Saccharomyces cerevisiae S288C: one gene and its partners. The gene in region 1 interacts genetically with each later gene. Each region holds a gene or a part of one and is shown on either strand. Other genes may lie near its edges.

The links.
Region 2: mutations in OPI3 (region 1) and CNB1 together harm fitness more than expected from each alone (negative genetic interaction), as found in Saccharomyces cerevisiae (6 studies listed by BioGRID, with this or other methods).
Region 3: mutations in OPI3 (region 1) and ARL3 together harm fitness more than expected from each alone (negative genetic interaction), as found in Saccharomyces cerevisiae (5 studies listed by BioGRID).
Region 4: mutations in OPI3 (region 1) and HAC1 together harm fitness more than expected from each alone (negative genetic interaction), as found in Saccharomyces cerevisiae (7 studies listed by BioGRID, with this or other methods).

What each region holds. Positions count from the first base shown.
Region 1 is NC_001142.9:571,815-574,795, reverse strand, and holds OPI3 (bifunctional phosphatidyl-N-methylethanolamine N-methyltransferase/phosphatidyl-N-dimethylethanolamine N-methyltransferase), read left to right. Parts: upstream 1-1,860; coding exon 1,861-2,481; downstream 2,482-2,981. Other genes in the region: HOC1 (alpha-1,6-mannosyltransferase), read right to left, coding at 1-815; Ran GTPase-binding protein MOG1, read right to left, coding at 1,045-1,701; GTPase NPA3, read left to right, coding at 2,672-2,981. UniProt on the Saccharomyces cerevisiae protein: Catalyzes the second two steps of the methylation pathway of phosphatidylcholine biosynthesis, the SAM-dependent methylation of phosphatidylmonomethylethanolamine (PMME) to phosphatidyldimethylethanolamine (PDME) and of PDME to phosphatidylcholine (PC).
Region 2 is NC_001143.9:81,169-84,050, reverse strand, and holds CNB1 (calcineurin regulatory subunit B), read right to left. Parts: upstream 1,105-2,882; coding exon 1,053-1,104; intron 977-1,052; coding exon 501-976; downstream 1-500. Other genes in the region: DPH2 (2-(3-amino-3-carboxypropyl)histidine synthase), read right to left, coding at 1,412-2,882.
Region 3 is NC_001148.4:458,109-461,059, forward strand, and holds ARL3 (Arf family GTPase ARL3), read left to right. Parts: upstream 1-1,854; coding exon 1,855-2,451; downstream 2,452-2,951. Other genes in the region: KTR6 (putative mannosyltransferase), read right to left, coding at 1-350; mannosyltransferase complex subunit MNN9, read right to left, coding at 2,671-2,951. UniProt on the Saccharomyces cerevisiae protein: Involved in the targeting of ARL1 to the Golgi. Can bind and hydrolyze GTP.
Region 4 is NC_001138.5:73,371-76,647, forward strand, and holds HAC1 (transcription factor HAC1), read left to right. Parts: upstream 1-1,808; coding exon 1,809-2,469; intron 2,470-2,721; coding exon 2,722-2,777; downstream 2,778-3,277. Other genes in the region: protein kinase RIM15, read right to left, coding at 1-1,057. UniProt on the Saccharomyces cerevisiae protein: Transcriptional activator involved in the unfolded protein response (UPR) pathway. Recognizes and binds to the UPR element (UPRE) in the promoter of UPR-regulated genes such as KAR2, PDI1, EUG1 and FKB2.

The DNA of each region.
Region 1 (2,981 bases):
GGTTTTGCTTGTATAATCCAAGTACCAAACTGAAGTCTTCTGATATACTTGGTTCTCCAGTCAGCTCTTTGAGCGTCTTCCTCAACTCCAACTATCAACCCAATGTCGGATGGCGACAACTCTTCAGGAATCCAGTTTGGAATTGGCTGAACAGGGAACGTGTCGATGTCAGCATAAACACCTCCATGAACTAACAGTATTAAGTATTTGAAAAAATCTATCTTTAGGATGATGGAGGGCAGAGCTTCGTAAGTCTCTAGGATTTCCGGTATGGAGTAGAAGTAGTGGTGTACTAGTGCGTTTATCACGTCATGGTTCAACACTTCGTGCGCAAAGCCCGGATTCTTGCTTTCCCACATGCCCTTTATATCTTGAACACGCTCGGGACCTTCATCATTGGACCAAGTTTGCCAAATAAATGCTGGGAACTTGACATGGGAATCGTAGGGGAAAGTCATAGCTATGCGTTCTCTTAGGGTGGCCTCCGGAGGTGTTTGTTTCAAGTCTTGGATTTTTTTTTCCAGGATCTTACGTTGTTTATCAAATTGCTTTGCTTGAACTTCCTGTTGGTGTCTGATCTCCTGAGCCAAACTCTCAAAATGTTGAACTAGATCAGAATCCGAACTCTGAATATTGTTGGCACTATTAATGCTTTGGGAAATCTCTTTGGGCAAGTTCTGCAGAATTTTTTGTAAATCAGTAGCATTAGAATTGTGAAATAGGTATCTAACTCCAAATGCTAATGAGATGAGGGCTATTATGGCGAATATCATCAACCTCCTGAAACTGGAGGCTCTTTTTGTTGTTTTGGCCATCGTTAACCGCTACAGTCTATATATCTATCTGCTGTCTTCCGAGTAGAGTGCCTCTTCTCTGCAAGAATACGTGCAAAATGGAAAGAGAGGAATGTTCATTATGGTCACTGTTATTTTTTCACTTTCTTCGCTGCTGGGAAATTTCGTTATACTTATCGGAAAAAACATGTAATACGCTATATAGTAGAAATAAAAAGGTAATATAAACATAAGGTTAAAATTTGAAAGATTAAGCAAACAGCGACGTGTCCACAACGTGAAACTTCCGTACCATTTCTTGCAACAATTGGTAAACAGCATGACATCTTGCAGGCAACTCTTTGTTGCTTGCTTGCGACGCCTCCTCCTTTGTCAAAGGTACATTAATGGAGATGACCACATCCGTGTCAAACTGGGTTAATCTGATCAACGCTACGCCGATGACAACGGTCTGTGCCAGATCTGGTTTTCCCCACTTATTTGCTACTTCCATAACGAGTCCGGTGAACTTGGTTCCTTGCTGAACAGTGTCTTCTTGTAAAGCTTCCCATTTGGTGGTCCCGTTCAACTCCGTCAGGTCTTCCACGTGGAACTGCCAAGCCTCCTTCAGATCGCTCTTGTCGACCGTCTCCAAGAGATCCACGATAATGCTTTCATTGGTGGCTAGTCCATCTTCGAATTCTTCTTCATCGCGACGGGAATTGACGTACACCTCCTGTGTATCGGGGACTTCTCTTAGAGTAGAAGCGTCTATAAACCCAGGTGGGACGACAGTAGTGATGGCGCCGCCGTATAATTCGACTTCCTTGTTGTTCATGCTTCCTTGATGACCAGGGTAGGTGTCAATGAGAGTGCATGTGGAAAGTTGCACCGGTTGTGAAATATGAGAAGCCTTTTCAATCTTCATATGCAAACCCACACATGCATCGTTGGTTTCTGTCCACTGCCACTGCAATGACCACTGGATAAGGGGTCTTTATAAGAGAACACATATGAAGAACATGAACGTTCTTGGACAGAGCCATAAACAGCAATTGAAGACAACAAGAATAGCGCAAGTCAAGCGATGAAGGAGTCAGTCCAAGAGATCATCCAGCAACTCATCCACAGTGTCGATTTACAGTCTTCCAAGTTCCAGCTGGCCATTGTGTGCACGATGTTCAATCCTATCTTTTGGAACATCGTTGCAAGAATGGAATACCACAAGCATTCTCTCACCAAGATGTGTGGTGGGGCCAGAAAGGGCTGTTACATGTTGGCGGCGACCATATTTTCGCTAGGTATCGTCAGAGACATGGTGTACGAGTCTGCATTGCGTGAACAGCCTACGTGTTCTCTGATCACGGGCGAGAACTGGACCAAGCTGGGTGTGGCTCTCTTTGGTTTGGGGCAAGTGCTTGTTTTGAGTTCCATGTACAAGCTGGGTATCACAGGGACGTACTTGGGTGACTATTTCGGCATCCTGATGGATGAGAGAGTCACCGGCTTCCCCTTCAACGTTTCCAACAACCCCATGTACCAGGGTTCCACTTTGTCCTTCTTGGGCATAGCCCTTTACAAAGGAAAGCCTGCGGGGCTGGTTGTTTCTGCCGTAGTTTACTTCATGTACAAGATCGCTCTTCGTTGGGAAGAACCTTTTACTGCCATGATCTACGCTAACCGTGATAAGGCCAAAAAGAATATGTAAGTGCTCTATTTCTATATATTCTATAATGTTAGAAGCCTATGCTATTACCGTTTCTATATAGCTCCATAAGCAATTTCTTCGCGAAAGTGAAAAAAAAAAATTTTAATGCGATGCTCTATTTAACAAGGAATACAATGAGAGCATCTAGCGCACACAAACAACTACAAAACGCAATAACGACACAGCAAGAATGAGTCTCAGCACAATCATATGTATTGGTATGGCCGGATCCGGTAAAACAACTTTCATGCAAAGGTTAAACTCCCACTTGCGGGCAGAGAAAACGCCACCATACGTAATCAATCTTGATCCTGCAGTATTGAGAGTCCCCTATGGTGCAAACATCGATATCAGAGACTCAATCAAATACAAGAAAGTGATGGAGAATTACCAGCTAGGTCCGAACGGTGCCATTGTCACCAGTTTGAATTTGTTCAGCACCAAGATTGATCAAGTTATTAGGTTGGTGGAACAGAAGAAGGACAAGTTCCAAAACTGCA
Region 2 (2,882 bases), on another chromosome or scaffold:
GGTGTAAGAAGATAGTATGATGATTGAGAGATAGTCATCGGGTTTAACGGAAGCTGATATGTAAGGATTGATAATGCAGTGGGATAGTGAATAACAACACATAAAACAAAGAAGAAGTAATAATCTTAATTTATATAACTATTGATCCCCCTTTGTGCATTGCCATATTTTTGAGGAAAATCTCTGGTATTCTGTATGTCTGATATCAAAGCTATTAATAACAATGGAATCCCAAAAATTATCAAAGTACACCCCGCAGTTATTACATGAGATCAGCTTCCATCTTGGTATATCTCGTCGCTGACATATATGCTCTCTCTCATCTCTATGTTGTATCATTGCTTTCTTATTGTTTGTTACATATACATATATATATGTATATATCATCAGCACTCTAACTGGGCGAGTGTGCGTTCCTTCCTTAAAAAACAATATCGCGTATTATTCTTCTTTTCTTAAAAATATTGGCATACCATAAATGAATGAAGTGTCCCCTAGTCTTACACATCGTATTGCAATGTCAGACTCTTGGCCACTTCTGTGGTTTCGATAGCATTCTTAAACTCCTCGAAACTTAAACGTCCGTCGCCGTCGCTATCGTTTTCCACTATCGTCCTATCTACTATCTGTTGCAGCTGTTCATCGTCCAGATTAGAACCTACCATAATCTTCAACACGATGAACAACTCACCATTGGATATGAAACCGTCCTTGTCAATGTCGTAGATTTTGAAGGCGAATCTTAACTTTTCGTCCTTGGACCCACGCCCACTGAAAATGGATAATCCTGTGATGAACTCTTGAAAATCCACGTCCCCACTATTATCAGCATCGAAAACCTCCATTATACGTCCAGCAAGAGGGTTTGACGAAACGCCAGGAATGCTCATAAATTCATTTTTATCAATAGACCCTGAGCTATCTCTATCTAATTTCATGAATCTCTTCCTTAACCTTTCAATTTCATCTCTATCAACTGTTCAAAGTGTCAGTGTTAGTAAAATCGGTTAATTTCCCCTTTCTTTCTTTTCCTCACTCCGAAGTGTACATACAATTTGTATCTTCTAAAAGACCATCCACAATTTTGGAAGGAGCAGCACCCATTTTAAGAAATAAAAATGCTTCTATGGATTCTGATCACCATTGAGTTACCAAGTTTTAGCTACTAGATGTTCCGTGTAAACCACACCAGCACAAAGCACCTTTATTGCATTCCGCTAAAAAAGAAACTAGTGATTTTTAAGATGATACCCGGCCTTCCACGCGGTCACTTCGCACGGAATGTATATCCCATTTTGGCGGCTAATTTCCAAGGCTTCCATATAAAGAGTTAATTGTTTTATTATTAAATAGTTTATTAGTTAAAATCTTGGATTTAAATAGAGAAGTCGAGGGAAACAAATTATAAGAGTCATTTGTTTTCCTTTTTCATAGCGTCTTCGCGATCAAATCCATAACCACGTGCGACACCGGAAATACCTTCTTCGATATCCGCTCCAGTATTATCAACCTCAGTAGAGTCGAAATCGCTTCCTAGACCTTTCCACGAACGATTCTGCAGTGCTGATGCTGAAGTGGATACAGTACCTTTAATGACGGCACCTGAGGCGGTATGTCTTGTAGTCAGTTGTTTGGAATCGTCGTCGTCGGCCGCCTCTAACTCCAGGTGCGTTAGCGCTCGCAGTGGTCTTGATGTGCTAGTATATCTTCCCCTAACTACATCAAACTCCGGTTCATCGGAAGTTGTGCTGGCAGAGATGGTATCTTGTCCGCCCAAATTCTGCTCGATTTCATCAATGGCGTCTCTGAAGTCCACAACCCATTTCCCGGTCCATGTGACCTCTTCGCTCAAGGCCAAGTTTAATTCATAAGGTGTAATAATGGGCTTGTAAAACTCGTTGAATTGATCAACGATGATACCGCTTTGGCTACAACCGAGAATGCACCAAATATCAATATCTTCAAAGTTTGCTAGCTTGGCCACATTTGGCTTTCCGACAACAAATAAATAGTGTTTTTTCTCACGAGTTTTGATAAGCTTGACCAGCTCGTTGATAGTTTCTCTTGTATTACGTAGCGACAGCGTGTTGACCAGAATACCTATACATCCCGCTGTTCTTGCCACATGCATGTACTTGTAACGCCTCATTAGAGAGGGAAATGGCCCCGTTACCATGCCAGGTAAAGCCGGATCGAAAATATGAACAGATTGAAACACAGTAGACAAATACAGTAATCTCGGATCCTGTGGGGTGGTCAAATGGAAAAGATGATAGTCCTCGGGCGAGATGTTGTCTGCTTTGTCGTGCTGACCAAACAGCACGCTATTTTTTTCGAACACACCCACCTGGTCTACGTCTTCGGGAACGTGAAAGGTGTCAAGTATGGTTACGAATTTTTCTTCTACCGCAGAGGTGTTCACTTGGGAATATATGATATTTGTGTAGTGCAGGTCGCCCTTCAAAATATTGTACAGCTGTGACAAATGCTTAGAGAAGGGTGCGTTTGCCATCAAACAAATTTTGGAGGATAAGTCTGGGAATGCCCTCTGAAAGTTCTCCACCACCAGTGCCAAATCCAAAAATGGAGTTCCGAATGAGTAAACCACGGGCAAGTTTTGGATGGCGTTCAAACATGCGTCACCAAAATGTACCACGACTTCTGCATGTACGTGTTCAGCAGCGACCTCGTCTACACAGCATGCACTGTACGCTGTGTCAGCTAAAACCCAAAACTTTATCTTCCCATGGGGAAATTTCGATTGCAGCAGCCTTACTATCAACGAGGAGTCCTTGATTAAATCGTCAGGAAACTGCAAGGTCACGTTTTGGTACTCCGGGTGCTGTTCCAGATAACCCACGAGAGGCTCGACATTGTAATAA
Region 3 (2,951 bases), on another chromosome or scaffold:
GGTGGTGATCCTCTATGATTGATATACGATGGCACCATGAACCCTAGCGTCGTTTCATTACCACCATAAGATTTGATCTTTTCCTTAATGGCATTCACGGTGGCATTTCTAATGGCCTCTCCCTCTAAAGATTGCTTCAATTCGGCTTCTTCCTGTTCACTTTGTATACGCCTTTGTTCCTCTGCACTAATTTTTGCAATAGGTTGCAAAGATTTCGGAAGGTATGGTGTAACATACTGTTCAGACATCTGCTTTGTTTTTGGATGATTTATTGTCACCATTAGCGCAAGCACGAAAACAAACGAAATCAACAGAAAGCGTGCTATTTTTTTGCTCAGCAGTACGTGCATCTTACCTTATCTTATCTTCACTAAAGGGCACAAAAGGTTGGGTGAACGCTTAGTATCCCTCTAGTCTTGTATACTCGTACACATTATAAGTACATTTAACAAATCTCATCCACATTTCTCGAATAAATATCACATGTAACTTGAAGGTTATTTTTATATTTTTTTTTCCTGTGAAGGAACAACTCGTGTCTCACGAGAGCGCCACTTAAAAAACGAAAAGATAATCGGCGATGACTATATATGTATGTGATTGAGAATAAAAATATGGAAAGATAAAAGACCTAGTAACGTTGTATTTCAATAGTGAGGATAACATAAAGAAGTAAAAAGATCTTTGAAAATGTATGAAGTAATACAGAAAAGGAAAACAAAAATAATAAACGTTTTACAGAGTCCTGAACTCATGAGGCTCATAGAGGACCCATCAAATCTGGGTATTTCTTTACATTTTCCAGTAAGTTCACTGCTAAAAAGTAATAAGTGCACACCAATGCCTAAACTTTCTACGTATAGTTTGGCTAGTGGGGGATTTAAGGATTGGTGCGCGTGACATCCCTCTAGACGTTCCACCAGAGATTGATATCATCGATTTTTACTGGGATGTTATTTTATGCATGGAATCTCAATTCATATTAGATTACAATGTTCCGTCAAAAAATAAGGGGAACAATCAGAAGTCTGTTGCTAAGCTGTTGAAAAATAAGCTTGTAAACGATATGAAAACTACGTTAAAAAGACTAATTTATAATGAAAATACCAAGCAATATAAAAATAATAATAGCCACGATGGTTACAATTGGAGAAAACTAGGCTCGCAGTATTTCATACTGTATCTTCCCCTATTTACGCAGGAACTGATTTGGTGTAAACTTAATGAAAACTATTTCCATGTTGTATTACCATCTTTACTGAATAGTAGGAACGTTCATGATAACCACAGTACCTATATAAATAAAGATTGGTTACTTGCCCTTTTAGAGCTAACTTCCAACCTGAACCAAAACTTCAAATTCGAATACATGAAATTGAGATTGTATATTTTAAGAGATGATTTAATTAATAATGGTTTGGATCTTTTGAAAAATCTTAACTGGGTCGGTGGGAAACTGATTAAAAATGAAGATAGAGAAGTCTTGTTGAACTCGACCGATTTAGCTACGGATTCTATTTCTCATTTATTAGGTGATGAAAACTTTGTTATTTTAGAGTTTGAATGCTAAGCAGTTATATTCAGTTAGAAGCATATATCCCACCATTAAATAAGTTAACATACTACTGCATTTTTATTTTATGTTTAAGAGCAGATACGTCAATGTAGCTTGCATATGTACGTATCCTCCCCCACCTCCTATTTTCTACTTTGAACTTTATGGGAGTGTTAGTATAAGAAATATGTTTACACCTTTTTCAGACAAATGTAAACGGAAAATTAAAAAACGAATTCAGATCGATGTGTTAATCAAGTAGATGAAGGAGAATAAAGCATATAAAGCGCACCGCACACATGTTTCATTTAGTCAAGGGACTTTACAATAATTGGAATAAAAAGGAACAATATTCAATTCTAATATTAGGTCTAGACAATGCAGGCAAAACGACGTTCTTGGAGACATTGAAAAAGGAATACTCTCTGGCGTTCAAAGCCTTGGAAAAGATACAGCCTACGGTAGGACAAAATGTGGCGACAATACCCGTTGACAGTAAACAGATCTTGAAGTTTTGGGATGTAGGTGGTCAAGAATCACTGAGATCAATGTGGTCCGAATACTATTCCCTATGTCATGGTATAATTTTCATTGTGGATAGTTCAGATAGAGAACGATTAGACGAATGTTCCACGACCCTACAGTCAGTTGTAATGGATGAAGAAATTGAAGGTGTACCCATCTTGATGCTGGCCAATAAACAAGATAGACAAGATAGAATGGAAGTACAAGATATAAAAGAAGTATTTAATAAGATTGCGGAACATATAAGCGCTAGAGATAGTAGGGTTTTACCAATAAGCGCATTGACTGGAGAAGGTGTTAAAGACGCTATAGAATGGATGATTGTTAGACTAGAAAGGAATAAAAAGTCAAGACCACCGATTTATAAATGATAAAGAAGCACCAAAAGAAATAAAATGTGAATGGTTTATTCTCAAGCTCAGAAATTAGTTGTTGTAGCACTTTTTATTCGGCATTTTTTAATATACATGTGTAAATTATATATATATATATATGAATATATATCTTGTTTTGTTTATTTTCAACTAATAATCGCAACAATATTATCTTTCAATAACGCTATAGCTTCTGTATGCTTTTTGCTCAGTTGCTCAATGGTTCTCTTCCTCTATGTGATAAACCAAATAGTTTGGTAAGCCAAATACATCGTAGTTTAATCTCTTCGCCATCTTAGCAAAACCTTCTGTTTCAATCAAGTGATAAAATGGGAAATTAGGGAACATGGCACCGTCTCTGTGAACTTCTGCTTTGACCAAAGTACAGCCTCCACCAACACCATCCAGCGCCATCTCTTCACCTGGTACGCCATTAGCATCGTAGAAATGAGCCATTAATGGCCTATAAGTGGCAATTTCTGCATAACCCTCGACAA
Region 4 (3,277 bases), on another chromosome or scaffold:
TATTATTATTATTATTGTTATTATTACCATTATCTTGAGGAAATGTTGAAAGACTGTGGTAAAGATCAGGAACCATTTCACTCGGGTTGATATCTATGGCGTCCTGACACAGCTCTCTTAAGGAGTCTAAAACTTGGTTAAGGAAGTTGTTGGAACGTACCTGTATCTGACTGCCCTTATACTCTGAATCTTTCGTGAAGTTTGCCAAGATCGCCTGTTGCTCAAGAAGATTATCGTGTAGTAATTGTATGAGCGATTCCGTTCTATGCTCGCAAACGCAACTTTGCGAATGGGTCTCCAACCACCAAACAGGGACAAAGTTCTCACAGACCCGGCATAGTTCCATTTTTGGCAGAGGTAGATTGAACTCGTCTATTATCATTTCCAGTCGTATTCTCTTCAAGTACTGCACGAAGATCTTAGCGCCGAACCCAAGCGTCTTGGCGAACTCTTCGGGAAGTTGGATATCGATATCGTCGCAATTATCGGATAACTGGATGACCATGTCGTCTTGAGCGTCTTCGTTGGCATAAAAGTCTGACCAGTCGTTTGTGCGAGGCTTGACTATCCACATCGTGTGAGAGGGCAACTGTGTGTGGCCATCCCTGATTAAGATACCACGTGCTTCCAAGGTCGTTATCGTACTTTCATCGTCACAGCCTGCGCTACCTTCATAGTCGGCTGCCTTTATCTTGAACGTTATAGTGCAACTGGTGTCATCATTCATGAGCAGCATGTCTGTGGCCTTTTGAAAGACACCTTTATCTTGATCGGATCCGAGAATAAGGTCTGCAATGTACGTCGGAGAAGAGCCACTATCATCGGCGACTCCTGTGATCGTGTTCCACTGTGGAGAGCCATATCGCACCTTGCCGTCCAGTTCCAGCTCCAAGATCATACACGGATTCTTCTCTGTGGCCAGCTGCAGATATTTTTCATAATTGGAGGAAGTCAATGAGCTTGGGTTCGAATTCGATGATATCGGGGAGAGCTTGTTTATGCCAAGTCCCTCTTTCATAGCCTGAGATCCGCCTGCGGTGTTACTTCTATTGAACATCTGTCTTCCTCTACTGGGCTTATCTATTCTATCAAATGAGGCAAGAGAAAGGAAAGGGAAAAAAAAAAAGGGAAAATGCTTGATGAGTTAGGAATTCAGTAAAAGCACCCACCAGAACCTCTACAGCAGGCCTTCCAGGAGTGGTTAAGAGGATAGAGAATTCTGTATATATATATACGTCTATATCTATACAAAAAACGGCAGACAATGCAGAAGTTGAAAATGCTGTGATACGAACAACAACTTATTTTTACAATGAAAAACAACACCAAGCTGCCAAAAGCTGTATATTAAAGTTAAAGCTCCCTCATTTTTAGTAAGGACGCTTTCTTTTCCCACAAAAGGGACGAGGAAAAAAAGAAAAACCTGGAAATATAGTCACGTGACATGAATAAACAAGACCTAGGGCAATATGGAAAAAGAAGCTAGGATAAAAATACATTTATGAGGGTTGTAAGGCAAAGTGGCTCAGCATTAAGTAGGGCTAAAAAGAGTCGCAAATATACATCGTACCGAGTGATGAACGTGGTTTTGAACACCTTGTTCTCTTTTGTTCTCGCTCCCTACATTCACTATATATTAGAAGAAATTTCACCTCAATGGACAACTCGAGAAATGAATACAGAAATATGTTTTTTAGCGAAATTTTCCTTTCTTCTTGTCTTCTTGTTTTATTTAAACTTCCAAGGCTTTAACTCAGTGTCAAACATAACAACCTCCTCCTCCCCCACCTACGACAACAACCGCCACTATGGAAATGACTGATTTTGAACTAACTAGTAATTCGCAATCGAACTTGGCTATCCCTACCAACTTCAAGTCGACTCTGCCTCCAAGGAAAAGAGCCAAGACAAAAGAGGAAAAGGAACAGCGAAGGATCGAGCGTATTTTGAGAAACAGAAGAGCTGCTCACCAGAGCAGAGAGAAAAAAAGACTACATCTGCAGTATCTCGAGAGAAAATGTTCTCTTTTGGAAAATTTACTGAACAGCGTCAACCTTGAAAAACTGGCTGACCACGAAGACGCGTTGACTTGCAGCCACGACGCTTTTGTTGCTTCTCTTGACGAGTACAGGGATTTCCAGAGCACGAGGGGCGCTTCACTGGACACCAGGGCCAGTTCGCACTCGTCGTCTGATACGTTCACACCTTCACCTCTGAACTGTACAATGGAGCCTGCGACTTTGTCGCCCAAGAGTATGCGCGATTCCGCGTCGGACCAAGAGACTTCATGGGAGCTGCAGATGTTTAAGACGGAAAATGTACCAGAGTCGACGACGCTACCTGCCGTAGACAACAACAATTTGTTTGATGCGGTGGCCTCGCCGTTGGCAGACCCACTCTGCGACGATATAGCGGGAAACAGTCTACCCTTTGACAATTCAATTGATCTTGACAATTGGCGTAATCCAGCCGTGATTACGATGACCAGGAAACTACAGTGAACAAGAACACTAGCCCCAGCTTTTGCTTTCTGCTTTTTTTCTTTTTTTTTTTTTTTAGTCGTGGTTCTCTGATGGGGGAGGAGCCGGTTAAAGTACCTTCAAAAGCAGAATGCAGGGTTATTGGAAGCTTTCTTTTTTTCTTTTATGCTAGTTTTTCCTGAACAAATAGAGCCATTCTTTTCTTATTACTAAGAAATGGACGGCTTGCTTGTACTGTCCGAAGCGCAGTCAGGTTTGAATTCATTTGAATTGAATGATTTCTTCATCACTTCATGAAGACAATCGCAAGAGGGTATAATTTTTTTTTTCTCGTTATTATCGCTGTTGGTGGGTTTTTTCTTTTCATATATTTCTTTTTCGCTTAGTGGTTTCTACTGTTCTGTCTCCGGTTAGTGTGTGCTACTTCAACCGAAGAAGAAGAGGCTTTTCAAGAATGCAAACGTGAGGTTGGCGCGCCCTCCTACAATTATTTGTGGCGACTGGGCAGCGACACTGAACATAGCTCTTGAACAAGACCCTTTTTTGGCTGCAAGGAGCAAGACTGGCTGGGGTTCCACCTCAAAGAGCCACGCTCTGCTTTTTTTCTATCTGTTTGTGTCATATCTATCTGTCTATTTATCTATATATATATTTTTTTATATAAAACTATAAAGAATTCTTGATGTATGCCCTTAGGTTGGGCAGCTTTTCAACCTTAGACTTGATGCTAACGCCGCTCTGTTCCTTCTCCCGTGCTCCCGCAAGCGAACATCTCCCCCTAACTCCGGGCCAATGAG